Linked DNA regions of Drosophila melanogaster. Changing the gene in region 2 together with the main gene of any one other region gives a genetic interaction. Each region holds a gene or a part of one and is shown on either strand. Other genes may lie near its edges.

Evidence for each region.
Region 1: of alph (region 2) and RasGAP1, changing one enhances a phenotype caused by changing the other (phenotypic enhancement), as found in Drosophila melanogaster (one study listed by BioGRID).
Region 3: of alph (region 2) and PTP-ER, changing one enhances a phenotype caused by changing the other (phenotypic enhancement), as found in Drosophila melanogaster (one study listed by BioGRID).

The regions. Positions count from the first base shown.
Region 1 is NT_037436.4:9,852,286-9,858,202, forward strand, and holds the start of RasGAP1 (Ras GTPase activating protein 1), read right to left. Parts: upstream 3,001-5,917; 5' UTR 2,528-3,000; coding exon 2,380-2,527; intron 1-2,379. UniProt on the Drosophila melanogaster protein: Inhibitory regulator of the Ras-cyclic AMP pathway. May function as a negative regulator of Ras85D/Ras1 in the sev signaling pathway. Acts cell autonomously in cone cell precursors as a negative regulator of R7 photoreceptor cell determination.
Region 2 is NT_033777.3:29,588,836-29,596,330, reverse strand, and holds the start of alph (alphabet), read right to left. Parts: upstream 4,501-7,495; 5' UTR 4,164-4,500; intron 3,238-4,163; exon of another isoform or gene 3,060-3,237; 5' UTR 2,981-3,059; coding exon 2,168-2,980; intron 2,105-2,167; coding exon 1,987-2,104; intron 1-1,986. Other genes in the region: CG31041 (uncharacterized protein), read left to right, coding at 5,449-5,823, 5,961-6,182; CG11470 (uncharacterized protein), read left to right, coding at 6,569-7,261.
Region 3 is NT_033778.4:21,618,821-21,627,291, forward strand, and holds PTP-ER (protein tyrosine phosphatase-ERK/Enhancer of Ras1), read right to left. Parts: upstream 5,627-8,471; 5' UTR 5,418-5,626; coding exon 2,511-5,417; intron 2,454-2,510; coding exon 1,227-2,453; 3' UTR 501-1,226; downstream 1-500. Other genes in the region: clt (cricklet), read right to left, coding at 1-42, 96-152; mahj (mahjong), read left to right, coding at 6,376-6,785, 6,845-6,995, 7,118-7,936, 7,996-8,268, 8,334-8,471.

The DNA.
Region 1 (5,917 bases), on a different chromosome or scaffold from region 2:
TTATGCGCTAAACATTTTAATTAAGTGGAAAAGTATTACGCCAATTTTGGACGGACGTTTCGTGTAGAAATCGCAACGAGCAACAAAATGGAAATGGAAAGCCCCCACAACAATAGCAACAAAAGCGAAACTCCGTGTGTAATTGAAACTGAGCACGATGTGGAAGTATTATTATTAAGCATGCAAAGCATAATGAAGTGGAAATATGATACTTGGGAGAAGAATGCAGGGTGTACATACATATACATACATAGATATGTATAGCGCTTATAACGATATATAAATACGTACATATATCACGTTATAAAGCGGATGGGAAAGAAGCTGACTGTTGATGGGCAATAGAGGTGACACAGCAGCTAATGTGCTATAATGATGCGATAATCAATGATGATTATGGGAAATGAATAACTTTCATTCTTCAATCATTAGAAAACGTGATCGTGAGCCGTTTGAAATCGCATTTCTATATCTTTAGTAGAGTTTTTAAGAGGGAAAACTATAAATAAATAATAGTGAGTTCCCAATAATACTTCTATAAAACTAGAGAATATGGTTAAATTTCCTGCTCGATAGGTATTCCCGATCCATAACACAGCATTTTTTAACATTTTAGAGGCATTTTTGAATGGCAATTCCTTTAGATATGGTGTTGTGTAATAACTACTCAGGATTTTTAATGAGATCAGATATGTATCTTGGGAAGCTGTGGTCGATCCTTAACGGAATTTTTGCAGGTAAAGAGGGTAAACATGAACCACAAAGGCGAACGAATGAAATGGAGGTAAAAAGGTGACAGCTAATTTGCCATAACAACCCGATAATCGAAGGAAGTGCATAACTTTCGTTCTTCAATCAGCGCAGAAACGTGTTTTAATTCATTTTTAACCAATATTGTGCCATCTTCTTCGCAGAACCCAAAAGGGTTAAAGCAGCTGGAGAAAGAAGGGAATGTGGCAAAAGGAAGTGTCGAGAGGAGAGGAGGGTGCGAAGAGAAGATCCCGACAAAGACAGAGGCGCATGCGAAAACAATTGAAGCGTGCAAAAAGCAGTTGAAGAGGGGAAGACACGGAAAAAAAGAAGAGCAACTGAAAAAAGCAAGAGTTTTATGGCCGGAGAAAAAGAACACAAAACCGCAACACACGAAGGGAAACTCTGGGCGCTGGGAAACGGAAATCAAAAGCGGCAAGGCAACAATGTTGTTGCAGCTTTGCATATAATTTATGTTGAAAAAGCATAGCAAAAGCTGCTTATGAGTTGCGAGATTGAAAATGTGAGAAGCAGAAGAGGTAAAAATAAATGCGTGTGCAGGTGTGAAAATGAGATCACGGGAACTTTTGAACCCCCCCCCCCCCTCCCCGCACAGTACACACAGCCAGTGGTTATTCATAATTCTGTTTTACTTTTTATGTTTCAACAGGAAATGTAAAACCACCAAAAAACAACCGCAAGTTTATTTTTCGTCTATCTCTTGCAGTCTGCTTCGCTCTCGCTTCAGAATGAAGTGGATGGCAGAATGGAGAGGAAAAGTGAGAGAGCGTCATTCATTCATTTGACCTCTTGCCAATATATAGTAGGCCATTAATCGATGCTCTTTTCGCTTGTTGCTTTTGATAATCATTCATAAAACAGACACCTTCGTATTGAGAAAAGTACACCGAATTCGAAAATTCCATTCATAAAAAAACCCACACATTGTTGCTGGGATCTCTCTGCCGCTTGTGTGTGTGCGTTTGTCGCGTGTGTGTGAGCATGCGCTGGAGCGTCTCACAGACACATGCTTGATTTCCGATTCATTCACAAAAAGGGGCGCATTCAAAACTGCGGGGGGTGTGCTGGGCGATGAAGGAGGAAGAGCGGTTCTGGGGGTGGGTCAAGAAGCGAATGCCGTAACATTCAGCCTGGTCATCCATTACTTCTCAAACGGCAGCAACAACAAATGTATTGCACTGCTGCTGCACGAAAAAAAAACACACACACACAGGGAAAAAGGCAACAGAAACACACACGCACAGAGCAACACGCGAGTCAGAGCGGGACAGCATGCTTATACACTTGAACGCAATATGCATTTCTAGAACAAAAACACATTTGTTTTCTCAATTAATCGACTTTCTTTGCCTCAACTCGCACAAATTTCGGTTTGCCATTAGATTACACAACATTTTGGAAAACTTTTAGACATATTCTCCCGATTCTATGTTGTTTTCTGCTTGGAAGAGGCTCCGCGGGGCAAACGGCGACGCTGTCAAAATTCCAGCACACTTTGGAACATAAAAAACGCACGTTGCTGCGCGTATTTCACTCAACGTTCATGCCACGCATGTTCTTCGACATATTTTTGATGTTTTTGAACGATTTCGCACTCGATTTACATACCAATTTTCACTTTTAATTGCTCTTCAATGCGCACTTCGCGTGTATCGGCCATTTTGTTGTTGTTGCTGCTTGGCTCGACGGCGACGGGCGAGTTAATATTATTGTCGTCTCGCTCGTCGAACATATAGCGCTTCTTCTTCAGCAGCATTGTGCGCTTAAAGCAGCCAGCTTTTTGTCAGCTACCCACTGGGGAACTTGCAACACGCGATTGGAAATTTATCTAACTCCTTCACTCGATCTTCACGAAACTTTAATAACTCGAAATTATTTGTTTTTCTTTAACAGGTTTATTAGCCGGCTATTTGCATTTGAATTTCATCACTCGCTGCAGCGTTGCATTGTGCATTGAGCTGGTGTGACGGGAATATGAGTCGATTTGCCGCTCACGAAATGCACTTTCCCTGTTGCTTCAGGGCTCGACTGATTTTAGTATTTCGTTTTAACTACAAACTGTTTTTTGCACGCACTAGCAGACGTGGGATTATATTATCGAAGTATGGAAAGTAATTCGGTTGCTTGAATCAGAATCGCAAAAACTTGGTTCTCCGAGTTTATTTGCTTTGCGGGTTTACACGCATCCGCGAACAACCTTTCGAAGCGGAATCAGAACTAGAGTGACCGTAGCGAGACGGTTGTATGACTCCAACGAATTAGTGTGACCTTAGCACGGTGCCCCGAAAATACCACGGGAAACGCAAATGATTAATGTTTGCTTAATAATTTGTTTGAAGCAGATATGTTTTAAAATAATTTTTTTATTTTATTCAACAACGGCTTATGCTTATTAAGTTAAGCACAACAGTAAGGTTTTCATTAAAAATGTTTAAGTTTAATTTCGATATTTCACCAGTTCTGGCTATCGAATATATATCGTTAGCTCCAACAAACAGTTATATATTTTGTAATTTATTTAAAATTGATTATTATTAAACACTGAATTTTTGGTTTTTTTTATTTTAACTTGAGGTTTAATTGATGTTTTTATTAATTCCGATTGGTTTTTAGTTGCTTAACTTTGAAACACACTCCGAATTACGAACGTGTTGCAGGTCGGCCGAAATGGAACTGAATTAAAATTTCCAAGCGGCAAGTGTACACATGCACCTCCCAAAAATTTTGTGAATGAAAACGCACACACGCAGCAGCGGTCACCTACACTTAAACACACACACATGTTGCACCGGCGCCACCAACAGCGGAAACAACCGAAGATCGCCGGCAGAGAAAGTCGAGGCATATGCGACTTAAGAAGGGCGGTACAAAGCAATAAAAAACCCTGTTTTGTTTATGATCGATCGTTAAGGAATTATATCAGAAAGCAATGTTTATTTTTAAATTCAACCAGTTTAAGATTCATATCTATTCCAATAACCATGTATCAATAGCTAGTTATGCTTAGCAAAGTAAGTAAAAATCAAATGCCCGGCTGTTTATACCGTAGCGCACATTACGTGGGCGTTCTGGATCGCAGACAGTCCACAGGAACCCGAGGAACTACATAGTACACACATATGTACATTAAAAGTACACAAATATTCAGAAACAAGGCAGTGAAATGTGAAATTCACACGGCATCCGGACAGCAACGCCGCTTATGTTTTTCTTTACGCATATGTTGCTTCTGCTCCTTGCCTTGGAAACCACATGCATCACAACAACAACAAGAACAACAACTGGCAGGGAGAGATCAACAAGTGAGGCGGTGCATCTTATCACAACTGCCGCCAATAAGTGGAAGTGGTCGGGTCAACATTTCGGATGGTTGCTCGGCTGGGTTTCATTGTTTTCGTATGCCCTGCATTTGATCTAGTCACTTCAACTGCACTGAGCAAAATAATTGTATATAAAATAAATTATAATTGTAAATACTATAACACAGTTATAGTTTATAGTAATTGTAATAATTTAAAGAGACTTATCGAAAATTAACATTTCCCTTTAGTATATGCTTTTAAAGTGTATCATAATATTTGTTAAGAACGTTCACAATGCTATTTTCTGTGTAGCGTGCGTAACGACCATTTGAATATGTTGATCATTTCGCTCAACGAAACGTAACCGACGTGGGAAGAAGAGGAGACAGGGCTTTTCTTCTTTTTTTCCGTTTCCAGCTGTCCACTCGATTCCTCCTCCTCCTCCATTTGCCCCGCCCACAAAATTCGAAGCTAGGCGCAGATGTTATAAATATAGTATTTTGTGGCATTTCCATTCGTATGAATGGGTCTACGAGTTTCGGTTTCAGGTTTTTGGGCCTGTTTATAAACCCACTCCTCCCATATTTTCTCATATTTATGTCCGGAAAAGTGTTTTGGTCATTTGTCTAGCTTCCGTTATTATTTCGTTATGAATGAAAAACCCATTTGGACCGGGTTTTTTGATCTCCCTAATTTACAACATTTATTTAGTATTAACTCGATCTTGACGTCAATATGGGTTCGTAAACTTCGTTTACTATTTGCGTCGTGAACAAGTTTCTTAAAACGTTTAGTTTTTCTTATCCACCTCATGTTAATGTGAAGTTTACACATAAATACTCATAAAAGACCCCAATGTGGGTTTTCCTAATCGCACTTTGAATACATTTAAACGGCAAGAGGAAAAGGCTGTTAAATAGATTTATAGATGATTTTCAAGCTTCGATTTTTTTTGTTGAATTTATGGATTTTAAAATATATACCAATCAAGGGCAATTAGTATATCAAAACCGTTTGTCATAATGCATTAATAGACTTGGCAACACCAAACTTATGTTAAAATGAAGTTTCAAGTTGTATCTAAGTAGAAACGTTTTCAGTTTGATTTTCTGAAAAGGATTTTCTAGATTATTTGATTGTCAGATCCTCACCACAAACCAGATTCACTCAGAAGTCCTCTCAGTTATTTAGTTACAGATTTCGGCTTGATCTGCGGATTAAGTCAAATGGCCGTTTGGTTTTTCGTTTATTGTTCAGAGAGTGTTTACACGCATATGGTTTTTTTTTTTGTTATAGTATACAATAGACACTTAACGATTTCCAAGTAATGTAGTCATTTAGTTAAATGTAATGTAGCAAATTGTTAGGTGTCCTCTTGAGTTGCGATTGCATCATTATTACATAACTTGATTTCTTTTTGTTTTTGGCGCGCTAAACGTAAAGCTTAAAATGTAATCATGTTTGTTGATTGTTTGCATAAACAATAAGCCTTAAATGAAATACTTAATAAAAAGATCGCATAAAACAATGTGTGTTTTCTTTTGTGTGTGGGTGTGTATGTGTGTGCTTGTGTGTTTGAGAGCGTTGGTCGCATTTGGCAGCTTTGTGGGTTTAGGATCGGGCGCAGGATCTCAATCTCCTCCAGCTGCTTGTCACAATGCCAACTCCAGCTCAACGGCAGCCAAATTAGGAAACGATAAACAAACTGCAACGAAAAGAAAGCAGTTGATTAGTATCACTAGTCTGAAAAAATATTAAAACCAATATTCCGAACCATTTGACATATAATTAAGGTATTGTAAACATTATTGCTTCTAATCTTGTGAGTGACTAAGATCACAAAT
Region 2 (7,495 bases):
AGGTGGAGCTAAGGAATGTTTAGCTTTCGAAATGAACATAATAAAAATAAAGCAAAGAAACAAAAGTGTGAATAGAGAAAATGGAAATAAGCAAATGAAAGCCGAAATGATTCCAATAGAACAGCAGACAAACACTTTGGCTTAGGTTTTTAAATCTTTCGTTAAGTTATATTTTTGACTATCATCAATGGTAGTTCATTAATCTCTAAAAGTCGTGTATGTTCGGCTGTGTGGGATGTGTGTGTTTTACACTTTTAACTGGATCACCAATTTACCAGGGCACCCAAGTACAAATATTTCGGGGAAGTTGCTTAGATTGAATGGAATATGTCTGATCGATTTGGGTGGAGTAATCGTTTGCCTTCGGTTAACAACAAGCACAACAGTTGGTGAGCATAAGGTTTACAATTCGGTTTCGTTAACCTACGTATACATTCTATAACATTTCAACTCCTTTGGCTACTCTACTCTAGGCTAAGTAATTCGTCTGGACACTGGACATTGGTTTATTGCTTAGCCTAAATAATTTCTAAATGGGTTAGCTACTGTGACCAGTGGTGGGCAATGCATGCTCTAAGTCTATTCACTAACTGGCTAATTGTAAATCGTACGAATTCGGTCTAAAGTAATTGTCTATATCAACAAGGTCGGCCTGCGGGTTTTTGGCCGAGTTTCACTTTGGTGCCTCGAATACTGAAGTCTCGGATAAACACCACCAAGGGTTATTCATTGCTTTAAATACGTAATTCAAGTAATACGACTACAGTTCATCTGAGCGGTTGCTAGTTAATAAAATATATGTTTTCATTGCTTCTCAAAGTTTTTGTCAGCTATTCAGCTTATTTACATTTCTATCTACAACTAATCTTCTCTGAAGACATTATACTCTCCTATTTGATTTTGCTTAGAAATTAAGATTTAATTCGCTACTCCTACTTAGATACATCAATTCCAAGTGTTTGTTTTGAGTGTCAATACCTGCGTACGTTAAGTATTGCAATTTCGTTTGATTGATTCACATCGCGCCTAGTATCAAATGGGGTATACGTATATGCAAGTAAATGTATATACAAATTGGTTGACGGGTCATTTAACTACTTAGCTCGGGCAGGTTCGTCGATAATTGTTATTATTTAGGTGTATATGTACGACTAAAGCTAAATGGGCTGGATTTCGCATACATGGAACGCTTTTGGCAGTGGCTGTAGTGCACACAGGCATGTATAAATAATACTATAACTCAGGCTCACACACGGGGCAGACGAACACTGGTCAGCCACACGCACAGCCACCAGATATGACAAACTAACACGCTATACAGGTATTTGCTATGCATTAGTGATAGGATATTGGTCGAACGCCCACACACACCCCATTTACATATTTATACAGGCAAATATCGGTGAAAGCTCTCTAAGGGAATATATAACTAAATGTACGTGATGTCTAAGCACTAAGAATATGAGCATAAATGAGCCACATTATGTAGAGTATACAACATTTATATAGCACTCTTGTAAAAAAAAAAAAACGGACTTCAGCCTTTTTGCTGTTGATATGAATTTGTAAATTCGAAAGGTTTCAAATAAGTATTAGAAATACACATATAGATTATCAGTGCCTATTATTATCCATCCAATAGAGCTTTCACTGTACTTGAGGTGGGTGTGCGAGGAGTTCATTCTTGGCATTAGTAATGGCAATGGTTTGGTTTTCGTTTTGGTATTGTTTTTCGTTTTGGAACTACTTCGGAAAGGAATTGTTTTGTAAGATTCTAGTTTTGGACAAAGTGGGGCATATACAGCTCTAGAAGCACTTTGGGTCGGGACTGTAGGCCATCGAGGAGCCCATATAAAGTACTCGTGACGCTCAAGGTACAAAATATACGTATTTCGGTTCAAAAGAGACGCGAAGACGGAGGAGACCACTACGCCATGGGTCAACAGTTTACGATTAGTTATAAACAGAGTAGACGACTAAGACAACCTCTTGTGATCTTCTCGATTTGCTTTTCCAGACGATGTTCAGCCTCTATCGCCTCCTCGGTGGGCTTCGGAGCTCCGGGGAAGGCAATGATGATGATGCTCATGTTGTCGCGGCTACCCTGTAGTCAAGAAATGAACAGCATGTGAAAACTTTGACGATATGCATGGTAATCAAGACTCACCTTGTGCAGGCAGGTGTCCACGACCTGGTTGGCGATGCTCACTAGGTTACTGGTCACCCGCATTCGCGAGTGGATGAAGCTGCACACGTCCTCGTTGGACATCACATCCCAGATTCCATCGCAAGCGAGCACCAGGAACTCATCGCTATCCTGGCGGCTCTGACAGAATATCTCCGGTTCCGGCGATACCAACTGCTCGCACTGTCCCTTCTCCTTGACGTTCTTAAAGTCGTAATCCCCAAGGGCTCTCGACACTGCCAGGGTACCATTTACGCGCTTTATCATAACACTGCCACCCGCATTATAGATGCGCTCTTTCTCCTCCGGCAGAATGGGTTTGTGATCCTGCGTGGCGAACACCGGAACACCCTGGCGGCACAAGACGGCCCTCGAATCACCACAATTGGCGATGTACACTTGCGTGAGGCCGACAAAGGCGCACACGGCGGTAGTTCCGCCGCATTTCTCCGACTCCCGGGTGAATTCCGGCAGTTCCCGCATAACCTCGTCGATGCGCAGGAAGCCGGTGCGAATGCCCTTCACGTGGTCGCCTCCAATGAATTCCTCGGTGCTAATAATGCTCTCCAGAAGGTGCTTGGCACAGTGCTCCGACACCTTGCATCCGGCATGCCCGTCGAACACGGCAAAGAAGCTCCAGTCCGGCAGGGCATCCCCCAGCCCGGCACGAGCGTAGTAGGCGTCCTCCATCTCCGACCGCCATCCCTGCATCGAGCTGACCCCGAAGAGCAGCTTGTTGCCCTCACCCTCGTCATTGTGCTTGGCGGTTTTCGGCTTATCCAGGAATCCGCCCATGTTCACTGAACATGCTGTGTGCTGTGTGCCGGGCGGGTGCAATTTCTCCTCCTCTTACGGCTAGCCGGTGCCAAGGAATCTACGGATCGAGGACACAAGGGTATGCAACCATTAAACGACTGCCAATCAATATCAACCAGCAAGACCTTGAACTTGAACTTTCACCAGCGGATGACTAAGCAAAGGTCATGCCAAAATAGATAGTTTATAGTTTTCCACACACAAATAATAAACTGAATACTGTGTCTGAATATTCCTGTAAATGGTATCTGGATTTTTCTGACACAAACGGATGTGCAAGTCTCGGCTTTTGTAAAACCATTTCATTTCATAGAAATTTCTACGGAAGTTAAGTTGACTCATGGCAGTTTGATTTCAGCTGAACATGAAATAATTATTTGCTATACTCTTTCTAATTCTCGACCTGTATGAGTCGTAAACGCATCTTGACCGTCAGTAGGATGCTGGTAGAAAATCCAAAATAAGTATTATCTATTGATTTGAATACTTTTACTATAACTTGTGTTATTTTAACCTGTTTTAACCTGAACTGTTGAGACTGAAGGACTCCAAATATAAGGTACTAACTACATATATATAAACCGGCAAAAACATGTGAATTCCGAACTGGAATCAGCTGGCGCTTCATAATTAATATACATATACATGCTCATACATATGTACAGGGTACATTTGCGGGGCTTCCCCCTGTTGAGTTTTGCACTTGTGCCACAGAACAATAACTGTAAGCCGACTGCAAGGACATGGAAAAAAGCGCAAACACAAATGGGGGCGGGGCGGAAGACCTCGCGGCAGCTGCCCGCCCACGCTTTTCACCGCTATTTCCTCTGTGTCCCGCGCTTTTTTGCATTTCCTTTTGACACATCGATTTATCAAGGACGCGGCTTCGTCCTTCCGCTTGGCCGACTAAATTTAGCACTCGAAAGTGGGCGTTAAATACATTTTGTGGAAAATGTGGGGAAAATTGCGCGCAACAGCATCCATATCCCATTCACAAAAAAAAAATTTGTTTAGTGGCCAGCAAGTTGGCAGCACCGATTTCAGCAGGGGCGGGGGGTGGTGGAAATCCGGCATGGCCACCAAAAAATGGGAGGTAATGAAAACGCACTCGCGATTTATGATCTTCGGTGCTGGGAAAACCTTCGCCTCTCGTTATTTTCACCTCGCAAATTTTAAGTTTGATGATCTGCTTCTTCTTCCTCCGCTTGCTGCTCTTCTCTCCGCGTGCGAGTGGTTGTGTGTGTGCGAGTGCGTCGGTGAGCTGCGTGCGTGTGCGTGTCTGCCGTAAGTAAAAGTTTAAGAAGAAAAAACGATCGTTTTCCACTTGATTTTCATCGCCTACTAGCGCTTTTAAGATCAACGAACGAGTCGCGCACTTAATAACACTTCTGCGCGATCCCGAAATGCACTTTCGAGGCGGAAATGGAGTTTTTTCTAATATTTTGATTAACAAAGTGACTAGTGATGTAAAAAAGCATCGGGCATCGATGTACTGAGGGCGATACTTATCGATGATATTCGAAGAGCTATTGGCTATCGATAGCAACCGAAGGCACTCTTCTAGCGAATACACGCAACCCACCTAAGCAAGTACACCATCCTATTGGCGATGTTAAGTGCGATGCAGTTAAGAGACACCATCACTCTATGTAGAAACAGATGTTAACAGATGTGTTAAACGAGGTCCTGGCAGTGCACTCAAAAAAATTAGTTGTTCAAATCCACTGCATTTAGTTCTTGTGGCTTCCGCCAGTTTAAGTATGCGTTAATTTATGAGTGTCCATACTCCAAAAGTGCTTCCTGCACGAATTCTTAGAATTGTGTTATCTTTTATAATCTGCAAGTGATTAATACAAATTGCAATACAAAATTTGTGAATACCCTCTTAACTGATAGTAAATGTAATTATTTTAGAGGTGACGTAAATAAAAATTGCGTAGGCATCTATATTTACCATAAACAGAATTCCTGATATGTTTTATATAAAATTGGTGTATAAGCCATGCATTATTAGTATACACGAGCTAAATAATAAAACTATTAATTATTCAAAGAAAAATATCAGCGAAATCTAGTGTCTCTTATTTACTACCTTTCTCTAAACATATATTGTATAACAAGAACACGAAATTATTTTCCATGGTGTTAAATTTCTAAAGTAGATATACATATGTAGCTCTTTGCCTATAATGGGTAAAATATATTTAGTTTATTTGATGGAATGAATATTGTTGAATTGATATTGGGGGTTTCATTGACACCTTTTATTTGAAGAGCTTCCACAAGGCGTCACGATAACGGGGTCTACATCAGGAACTACCCCAGATAGTTTGTGGATCATAAATATTAGTAATCTAGTTGCTGGAATTACTACAGTATAAAAGCCAAGTCTGGGTCTTTGGGCCCCACACTCCAGTTGTCCAGTTCTCCAAGTGTCGAAAGTGAATATGTCGTTCAAGGCCGTCCCCCTTTTGTTGGCTATCGGCGCCGTCTTCGTGGCTGCCGTGCCCACTCCCGTCGAGACCGAGAGGGAGTCCTCGCTGGTGGAGCTCCTGCTCAGTTCTCCGGCCATGCGATCGGATCTCTTCAACGTCGAATGCGTGGACTACTACAGCCCGCTCCTTAAGGGTCACGTGGACAAGTACAACGAGGACTTCACCGCGTGCAAGGACAATTACGACGGGGCCTTCTCCCTGATCGACTCAAGCTACCGCAGTTCCCGCGACGAGCTGTCCGTATCCGTGAGGGACACCTGCCTTTCCCTCCTGACCTGCAATGGCAGGACCTCGAACTCCGATGCCTTCGAGTGCTTGGCCTCTGGGGTGAGTGATTCGTACAATGGTGGCTTAATCTATGATCTTCCACGCATACTCTAATGAGTATTTTAAAGTGTTTTAAGCCGTATTTTGTATAACTTTTTGCGCTTAATAGCATTAATAATATCACCACCCAATCGCAGGGTCCTTCGGCATCCAAGGAACTGGAGAAAGCTTCCTACAACGCATCCGACAACCAAACCAGCCTGCTCGCCGAGGTGTCCGTAATCTCGGAAACGCTATCCAGATGCCAAATCGAAGCCTACCGGACCTACAACACCAACCACGGCGAGTGCTACGCCGACATGGTAGCCTGCCTGGGTGATCCCAACTGGGAGTTTCCCAGCACGAACTACGTGCTCTAGGACTCGAGTCAAGATTCAGATCACCTCGAGCACCCTGTATTCGTGAACTTTTATCGCTGTAAATAAAAGACTTTGAGTGAATATTAATCAAGTTTAAACGATTAAATCCTATACCTCTGAAACTAGCTAAAGGATTGGACGACTTATTCATTATCAGCTCAATATGAAGGTGTTTTTCAAAAGTGTATCAAGAAAGCTTAAAGGTTTTTGGCAGTAAAACATGAGCTTATCTACTCTCGTTTAACATTGCCATCCATCAAACCTTTAGAGCCATCATTATCAGTAATTGAAAATATATAACATTAATGTGTAATTAAAAAGATAATGATAAATGGGAGTATAAATACGTCTGGGTGTCACATCCACCGTCAACTAACCTGGCCAAGATGTTCGCAAAGCAAGCCAAGATCTTGGTCTTCTGCCTTTCCCTGGGCCTCTCGCTGGCTGTGAAGCTGCAAATTCCCTTTAGACCAGACGCCCACATCCAGGAGCTGCAGCTGCAGAGCAGGGAGCTGGCCGAAGTCCACTCAGATCACTCCACGCAGTGCTTCTCGATCTACAAGCCCAAATTGGCCAAAATTGCGGATCAGTTCGAAACTAACTTTACGGCTTGCATCTCGGCCTATGACAATTGCACATCCCATATCAGCGAGAAGTATGCCGAGGATCGCCAGATCCTTCTCAGGTCCGCCAACATCGGCTGCTCGTATCCCAACTCCAATTGCCAGGTCTGGACTCTTGAGCAGCAGCCGCTGGACACCGTGGTCTCCCGCCTCGAATGCGCCTCCACCAACTCGGCCGAGAGCTCCAAGACCTTCTATGCCATTTCGGCCAATGCCACGCAGATTGCAGTTCAGATCCAGGAGCAATATACGATCCTAGAGAGCCGGAAGAGTGTTTGCATCAATGACGCAAATCGCTCCTATGTGGAAGACACCTCCGATACCTACGAGCTTTTGAACAACTGCCTCAAGAACGGACCAACCACCACAACTTGTAATCCATTGACTTACCCTACAACAACCACAGCAACAACAACAACAACAACAATAACAACCGCAGCACCTTTACTTCGTTAAAAGAAAGTCAATCAATAAATATATCAGGCAATTGAATTCTCTGTTTTATATAAATAAATAATATAGGAATGCAAGCTATTCACTGTGGAGCTTAGTTGTTTAATAGATGACAGGATTGAATAAAATATAGAGGGTACCAACTTATTTATGAAAGCATGACAGTACCTAAGATTATTGTATCAGCTATTGTTAATAGCTGCCATACGAAAAATAAAACTATATTAATTTTAATCA
Region 3 (8,471 bases), on a different chromosome or scaffold from region 2:
TTGCCGGCCCACCAAAACGCCTTGTTTCACTGGCACTTTCACCTACAAACAAGTAATTGAACAATTTTGTTGCGATTTGGAAGCGCACTCATTACCTTCATGCTGCTGCAAAACCTGGTAAAGATTAGTCTTCCACACGGACGAAGAAGCATTGTGAAATCAGCCCGTTACGGGTTTCCTTAACAATCTAATCGGCAATTATTCGGCAATCTCAAAACCTGAATCTGAAACACTGAACTTTGTTCGTCGAAATCAGCTGTTTGAGGCGCTTAACCCTTAGCTGGTGCTGCATGAGTGATTTTCGACGTCAATTAGTTCAAGTTGTAAATAGAAAATATAAACATTTAATTTACTTTAACTTAAAGCTCTAATTAAAAGATGTAATTTTGAGTACTGGAGAATTTCTTGTTAATGTCAAAAAAGTAACTCATCGCAATTTCCCTTTACTTAAAAACGTTAAGAACAACAAAATAAAACTGCCAACTTTACACATTAAGGTTACATTTAAAATGTTTCTAATTTTTATTTGACTAGTTCCATTGCATAAACTTAAATACATGTTCATTTATGGGTTTCCATTTTACTTATCGAATTTTTATCTTGTGTTTTAAATGAACTCGTGTCCGTATTTTGGTCCACGTCCGGCGGTCGAGCTGTCCGCTTGGGATTGGAGAAATTGGTGTTTAGTCAGAAGGACCCAGGGAAGGATCCAACTTGAGAAAGGTTTGAGCTTTCTCCGCCTCCAAGCAGGATGCACAACTCACCGAGGGGCGTCGACGAACGTCGCGAGTCATATATAGATGCGCATCTTTATGGTAAGGTATGGTTTTGGTAAGGTAAGGTAGGGTATAATAATTGTTAATTAACTTTAGTTTAAGCATAGTTCACACCAAAAGTCGGAAACATTTACACTTATGTACACATTTAACACACATACATCCAACACTTAATAAACATTTATATATATGTAGAATATGTGGTAATAGTAATATTTAGAAAACATTGAAAGCATTCCGTCAATCCTCCTTCGGAGAATGCCATCATATTCCATTTTCGAGACTCTTTTAGCCATGGTTTCTTGTTTTACTTGTTGCTTGTCCGTCGCGGTTGCTTTCATTAAAATAAGGGCCACAAAAATTGTGATTACAAATAGTAAATTGGTGTTTTGTTCTTCATCTCCATCGTTTTGTCGTCAAAAAGTTGTTGATCATGGTTTTCGCTCGCTTTTAAAATCGCCTCAACGCCAGTGTGCGTTTCAGGTAGAGGCAAATGGCCCGATGGATGAGCTCATACTGCTCCGAGTTCTGGACCATCCCGCCCCGCTGCAGGCGAAGATTGCAAACGATGCCCAGGACGTCCACGAAAATGTCCGGCATCTTGGGCAGACGGTCAAAGGATGGCGGCGTCTTAACCGCCTCCGCATCGCGATGATCCAGAATGTGGCTGATGTGCCGGATGGTGTTGCAAGTAAAACTGCTGTCGCTGTCCGTTGGGTTATGGTACTCCTCTGTCGAGCTGCTGGTCAGCGATTTGGTGAGCATTCCTGTCAGCGAGTAGGCCAACGACTGCCGCAACTGGCGCACTGCATTCAGGATGGCCGTGAAGCAACCGGTGCGCCCAATTCCAGCCGAGCAGTGGATGACGGGAAGGGGCTGGACTGCATTGAAGATGTCCTGCTGGTAGATCTCCAGCCGCTGAGCAGCCAGGTGGGCATTCCTCTCGCTCCTGGTGTCATCGTAGATGTCAAACTCCGACTCACACTTTCCAAGGTTGAGTACATGCAAGCAGGTGTCCAGCAGCGTGTTGATGTCCCGAGGCGAGTGATGATCCGGCCAGTCGGGATACCAATAGTGGTAGCAGTAGATTTTCTGCAGGTGGTAGCTAGCACTCTGTGGCACACGAATGCAATAGAGCAGCACCAGCTTTCTCACCGAGTAACCATTTCTTCGCACAATGCCGACGTTTTTAATGAGGAAGAAGCTTCCCTGGGCGGGCAAAGCCTCCAGCAGATCCCCTTCCAGCGTCACCTTCACCGACTCCACGCCTATGTGCCGGCCACTTATCTCATAGTCGATCGCATCCGAGGAAGCCACCACAGTGTCCGGCACAAAGGTGGGCGTTAAATACCGATCGAAGTAATCCCGGGCAGCCGCACTCAGCTGAAACACTTCACACTTGGCGGCCACCGCGAAGATCTCATTCAATTCGATGGGGAAGTAGACGGCGCACTTCTGCCGGTTCGCTTCCGTGAAGTTTGTGAGCATGACAATCTTCTGGAAGTACTGCTGCAGGATTTGCTCCCTGTCAACGTGAGGACTGCTGCTGCTGCCTCCATCCACGCACCGTCTTATGTAGCGCTGCGTGTTCTGGTATATCATAAGCCAGAACTCGAAGATTGTATTGGGCAGTGGACCCTGCGTGGCCACATAGCACTTCGACACGTAGTCGGGTCCCTGAAATGAAGGAAATATATACATTACTTTCATTGGATTTGCGCTTAGTTCCATTACCTTGATGTAATTGGCATTAATGTAGGGCAAGTCCTCGCTAGCGGTCACGGAGCTGGTCCGTTTTATTTCCCCCAGCAAGCTAGTCAGCTCGCTGGACTCGGATTCGAGTAGCACGCGAGAGTTCTCGTTTGGCAAGATAGTCTTGTAGCGATTTTTTGTCTGCGAGCCGAAGACCATTGGCTTCTCTTGGTGATTGAGCGGCAGGTCCCAGAACTCCTTGTGCAGATCCCGAAAGATTCTCTTTTGTTCGTTTTCTTTCAGTTCCGGTATTGGTTGCGCCATCCTACTAACCACTGTCTGGTAGGACGCGAGCAGTTCACTGTCCTCCGAGCTCGGGGGCACCATATCCGTGGGTGTCTCCACATCCCGTGCGTTGGAGCCCAGCACCGGCGGCTGCTCTATGATGTTCCTATTCGTCTGGTAGCTGTGATCGAACACGTAGTTCAGCCGGATAAGATCAAACTGATTAAGTGGATTGGAGGCGCTCTGCAGCATCTGTATGCTGGCCAAGTAGATCTTGAACTCCTCGCTAGTCGTTTGGGGCGACAGAGGACGGGTCATAATGTTGCGTACGGTGCCAGCGCAAGTGCACGTCGCGCCAATGGCCTGATCTTCCCTCACCGAATCCTGCTGAGGATTGGGTTGCAAGTCCGAGGCGGATCCGAAACATACCTGCCCGAAGAACTTTTGGCTATTGGCTTTACTGCTGTTCAAGTTCTCAGTGCTAAAGAATTTGCGCTGATGCGGGGCTTGGTTGGCGGCAGCACAACTGCAAACCGTGACTTTCGGTTGCACGATGTCCGTCATCTGGATCTCGGTACCTGCTGCTCCTCCCAGTATGCTGCCCATGTTGAGAGTGAGGCTTTGATTGGAGCCACGACGTTCTAAAAGTCCTCGTTTCGGAGTAGGTACATTGGATCCAGAGCCCGATCCCGAGCCGGTGGAATTGGTTCGCATATTGAGTCGGTTGTACTTTTCCGCACTTAACATTGCCTGTTGCTGTTGGAGCTGCTGCATGGAGTTTAGATCTCCACACGATGTTGTAGTGTGCCCCGTCTTCAGGGTGATACTGTGATTTGATCCCCGCCTCCTGAACAACCCCTGCCGACTACCCTGGCTGCTTCCCAGCAGATGTGACTGTGGCAATTGATCCGCTCGAATTTGGCTGGCGGTTCCCGCATCCAAATTGCAGCTGGACTTGGAGTTGAGTATTGAGCCCAGGCTATAGTTGGAATGACTTAGTCCACTGTTCATTAGGTTGCCACAAGAGCTGTGCAGGTTGAGCGTTAAACTGTGATTGGATCCCCGACGCTGAAGGAGATTCATCGATGATGTAGACACTGTGGTCTTTGCCTGGAGTGTCGGCATCGGCAAATCCATTGACTTCTGCTTGAAAGGCGATTCCTTAGGACCACCGCCAGAGGAGGAGAACTCCACCAGGGTAAGGCACTCGGGAAGCGTTTTTAAATTTGTGCTGGACGAGTGCAGTAACTGATTGTGCTTGTGGGCGCTTCTCGGCGCTAGGCTTGCGCCTATTCCAAACTTCGAGCCACCGTCCACGCTACAGGCGGACTTCAGTTCAAAGTCCCCCAAACTGGGGGTTAAACTGGCGTCCGAGTCCAAGGAGCTTTGTGTCGTGGAGCTGCAGTGTGTCGGTTGCACCTGATATGGGTTCTGCTTGCGGTGGTACATAAGCCAGTCAGTGGTGTTGATTCCTGGTGACTTTCTGCGCGGCGTTCGTCTTTGATTGGCCAAGCTTAGGTGACTATCCAGTCGCGAGAGCGATGTTGAGTGGATAGCGGATGCGGGCTGTTGAAGATGAAGGTGATGGTGGATAACACTTGTCGATGGCTGGCTCTGTCCTGTCTCCATGTCATCACAACTGCCATGAGATTCGGTTATGTTGTGCACCACGATTGACAGTTCCGATTCGTTGGCAGCCGAGTCCAGCGAGCGGGCCTTCTCCTTGGTGCTCTTGATAGTCGGTGTCTTGGGCTTGGGCAATGGTGATGGCTGGCTCGAGTTTTTTATGGGCACGTCCGTGATGCGAATGGTGAGATTATTTTTATTCTTGCGGTTCTTTCGCCCTTCCGATTTTTGTTGCTGCTGCTCCGGCGGCTCGGCCAACGCAGGACTACGATCCCGACGTGTAGCTTCCTCTAAACAGACTGTATCCATGGGCGCATCCTGCACGACATGATCGATCTCGGGGAAGCGAAAGAAGTTGCCGTTCTTGTAGCCGGCCGAGTTAATAATGTTCAGGGGTGAACCGGACACGTTTAGGTTGTTGATGGAGGATAGTAGTTTCGGGGAGTAGCTTAGGCGACTGGCCTCCAGTCCCGGCGTCGTGGAGGACTCATCCTTAAACAGGATGGTGGGTGAGTTGTGCTCGCTCTTCGACAAGTACAAGCTGTTCTCTAGGTCTTGGTCGACTGACCCGCCCTTGGGCATAGTGTTCTCCTTGTCGATGCCACGGCCACTGACCCGCTCCTCGCCGCTGGAGGTATTAATATGCGGCGAGCAGGATCGGCGATCATACTGTGATAACCTCTTGAACTTGCGGCCTAAAGTGGGAGACTGTGAGCTGGATGGATGGTGGACGTGGGCTGCTGGATGGGGGCTGGTAATGGTGAACTGCCGGGGGGTGAAGACCTCCTCCTCCTGATCCTCGTGCTCGGGAAAGCCCGGAACCCCGCCCCCAACCTCCACCGTGGGCGACGGAAACTCGAAGGACGTCTGCAGGTACTCGAGGGGCGTAAAGTAGGGTGTACTCTTGTTGCTCTCCGCATCCTCGCCAGCTTCAAGTGGGGTCGTGTCGGAGGGGGCGGCGTGGGTGGGACGGGGGGTCTGTGGGTAGGGGTACTCAATGGGTGCATTCTCCTTGTTGTTGTTTCGTAGCTTGTCCATGATACACACACACAATTGCTGAAGCGGGGCGATCGCAGCGCAGTCGCTCCGCCCGTTTAGTGTCTTGTCCTCACTCGATCGGCATTATAACTATCTCGCCCGCACAGTTAGCACTTCCGAATTGGACGCAAATCATGGGGAAAAGAGCGTTTTCTTTTCACAACATTTTCAGAGCTAAAGCATGGAGGGCTACCAGACCGCGTATGTAATCGATCCGGCAATGCCTTCATTGCTTACCGTGCTGCCAGGCCGCAGACTAACTGCACCAAGACCTGGCAACGTTGTACCTAATTTAACCGCATTTTTCAAGTGTCTTTTAAAATAAAAAGAAAGAATAGGTTAACAGATCTAGTGTTTACATCAAGGAGTTGCAGAATTTGTAATGCAGATGTTGTACACGGGCGATAGTTAATTCAATCGATCAACTGAGATGGTATCAGACAATTATATTTTGCATGCATCCAGAAAAATTGTTGTAAAAGATCACAGACTTAGTTCTAAATAGTATTTCAACCTACCTGTATTTTTGTTTATGAAATCACTACAAAGTTGTGAACAATTTAGAAGCAACAACGTAGTGTTCCTATTACCACCGTTCCGTTTACCTCACAGTTGCACGTTGCTCTTTGGCACGCTTTTATCTGTGCATTTGCTTGGAAATAATTAATTGAGTTAGGCATTTAAATCCTTTTGTGTACTTTAGACTTATTTAAAGACCTTTTAGATTGGTTTAATTTGCCGAAAGACGAAAACAAACAAATTTGTGCGACAGCTGACTTCATTATTTCAACGACAATAGCAAAAGGCCACACTAATTTTGCGAAAAGCGCGTGGTATTTAATACCTTATTTATTTGCTTTATTTCGCCATTAGAAGTAAGTTTCGCTGTGTCGAAAATCTAGCAAAGAAAGCCACTGGATCAAGACCTAGTGCATCCAAAACCCAGTAATTCATTTCGATGTCTGAGGGCAGCGGAAGCGAGAATGCGGCCGCAGCAGAGGCTGCGGCCGAGGCAGAGGCCGCGACTGAAGCGGCACTGATGGCTGAAGCTGTGGCTGTGGCCTACCAGAGCGACGAGGAGGAGCAGCCAGAAGCCGAGGATATGCCGGAGCAGGCTGGCGATAACCAGGAAGAGGACGCCGCTGAACAACAGGATGGGGGGGAACCAGAGGCCGACGAAGACGCTGATGCTGACGACGCCATGAGCGTGGAAAATGCGGAAAACGAAAGCGATAGCGGTGGAAACGCCGAGGAAACCGCTGCCGCCGACCGTCGCCAAGCCACCAAGAAGGAGCTCACCCAGATTATCGACAAGTGGGAGCAACAGCAGACCCAAAATGGATACGATCCAGTGCCCACTCTCAGGAGGTAAGCGTGCTTCAAAATCATTAACGCATGGGTCCAACTTAATACCTTTACTATCGCAGCCTTGCGGAGATCTTTGAGCGTGAGAAGGACGTGTATCGGCGCAAGGATCCGGATCCCTTGGACTCACGACATCCATATAGAGCCGATCCCAGCTGCCAGTACGGATTGCTACTCAAGCTGCTCTTTCGGAAGGATACCTTCATGGGCAAAGTAAGAATAAAGTCATGTGATTTTTATTTTTCTAAAAAGCAATGTAAATGTTTTCTTAAAATCAGGTGTTTTAGAATTTCCAAAACATAAGCTAACTAAAGTGAAATATTTTATTTAACTAGCTCCTCAACGATTACCTGCGAGAGAACTATTTCAGTCGCCAGAATGTCAGTCGCAGTTCTCTAGAACTAAACATCTTGGCCTGCCGCCTCATTCTGGAGATAATGCCAGGAATGGAGACCTCTGCAGTATTTCAGACCGCCGAAGGCGATGGAACCATCAATCGCATCTACTCTTGGGCAGAGGACAGCATTGAACCGCTTCAGAGCTATGCCACCGGGCTTTTAGCCGAAGCGATGGAAGTGAGCGACATAGCCATAAACTTTCGCGATCTTAATATTCGATTGGTGCCAAAGATGATCAAGCGTCTGCACATGCTCCTGGCGATCAGCAAGAGCGCCACTTCAGATGTCAATACGTCGATGCACAATCTGTCGGCTGACAGCAGCACGGCGGGCATGCTTAGCTGGGTGGCCTGCGCCAGTAATGCATCGGCTCCTCAATCGCCGCAGCACAATGGCAGTGGGCTGGGAGCAAGTTCCTCGCAGCATGGAGACGCCTCTAATATGTCCATTCTGTTCGAGAACAGCAGAGATGCCTTTTCCGTATCTCGCTATTACAAACGGATGTACATTCCTTTGCACCCGGCCACAGCAGATACCAGCCAAATGTTAATCATGCGCTTCCTGACCAGCCTGGGCGAATATCAAGAGTTCCTAGCCATGGCTTTCGAAAACAATGTGATGCAGCTAATTTTTGGCTACCTGGAGAACTTGGATCGCCGGGACACCTGCTTGGCCTACGAAGTTTTGAAGTATCTGGCTTCCCTTCTTTGCCACAAGAAGTTTGCTTTAGAGTTCATTTCACACGGTGGACTGGAGGTCAGTAAATGGTCTTGTAGAGGGAATGTAATTATTTTTAACTTTACTATTTTTTACAGCTTTTGTTAAAAGTGCCCCGCCCCAGTTTGGCGACTACTGGTGTGTCCATCGCCATCTACTACTTAGCATACTGTGAAGACGCCATGGAACGCATATGCAGTATGCAAAGACCACTTATTTCAGAACTAGTTCGCTACGCGCTTTGGATTCTGGGTCGTTGCCACGACTCCTCAAAGTGCCATGCCACCATGTTCTTCAGTCTGAGCTTCCAATTTAAGGTCATATTGGATGAGTTTGATGCTCAGGATGGTTTAAGAAAGCTGTACAATGTCGTAAGTAAATGGTTTAAACGAAAGAAGTTCGATTAAAGTCAATTACCTTAACTTCTTCCTAATAGATTTCCGTACTAAAAATTCTTGATCCGAGCCACAACGACAGCGATAATGACTCTGATTTCAACGAAGACGTAGAATGTGCTTCCCGACAAATGGTGCGCCACGTCTGCGTAGCCCTCAAGCGCTATATGGAGGCGCAC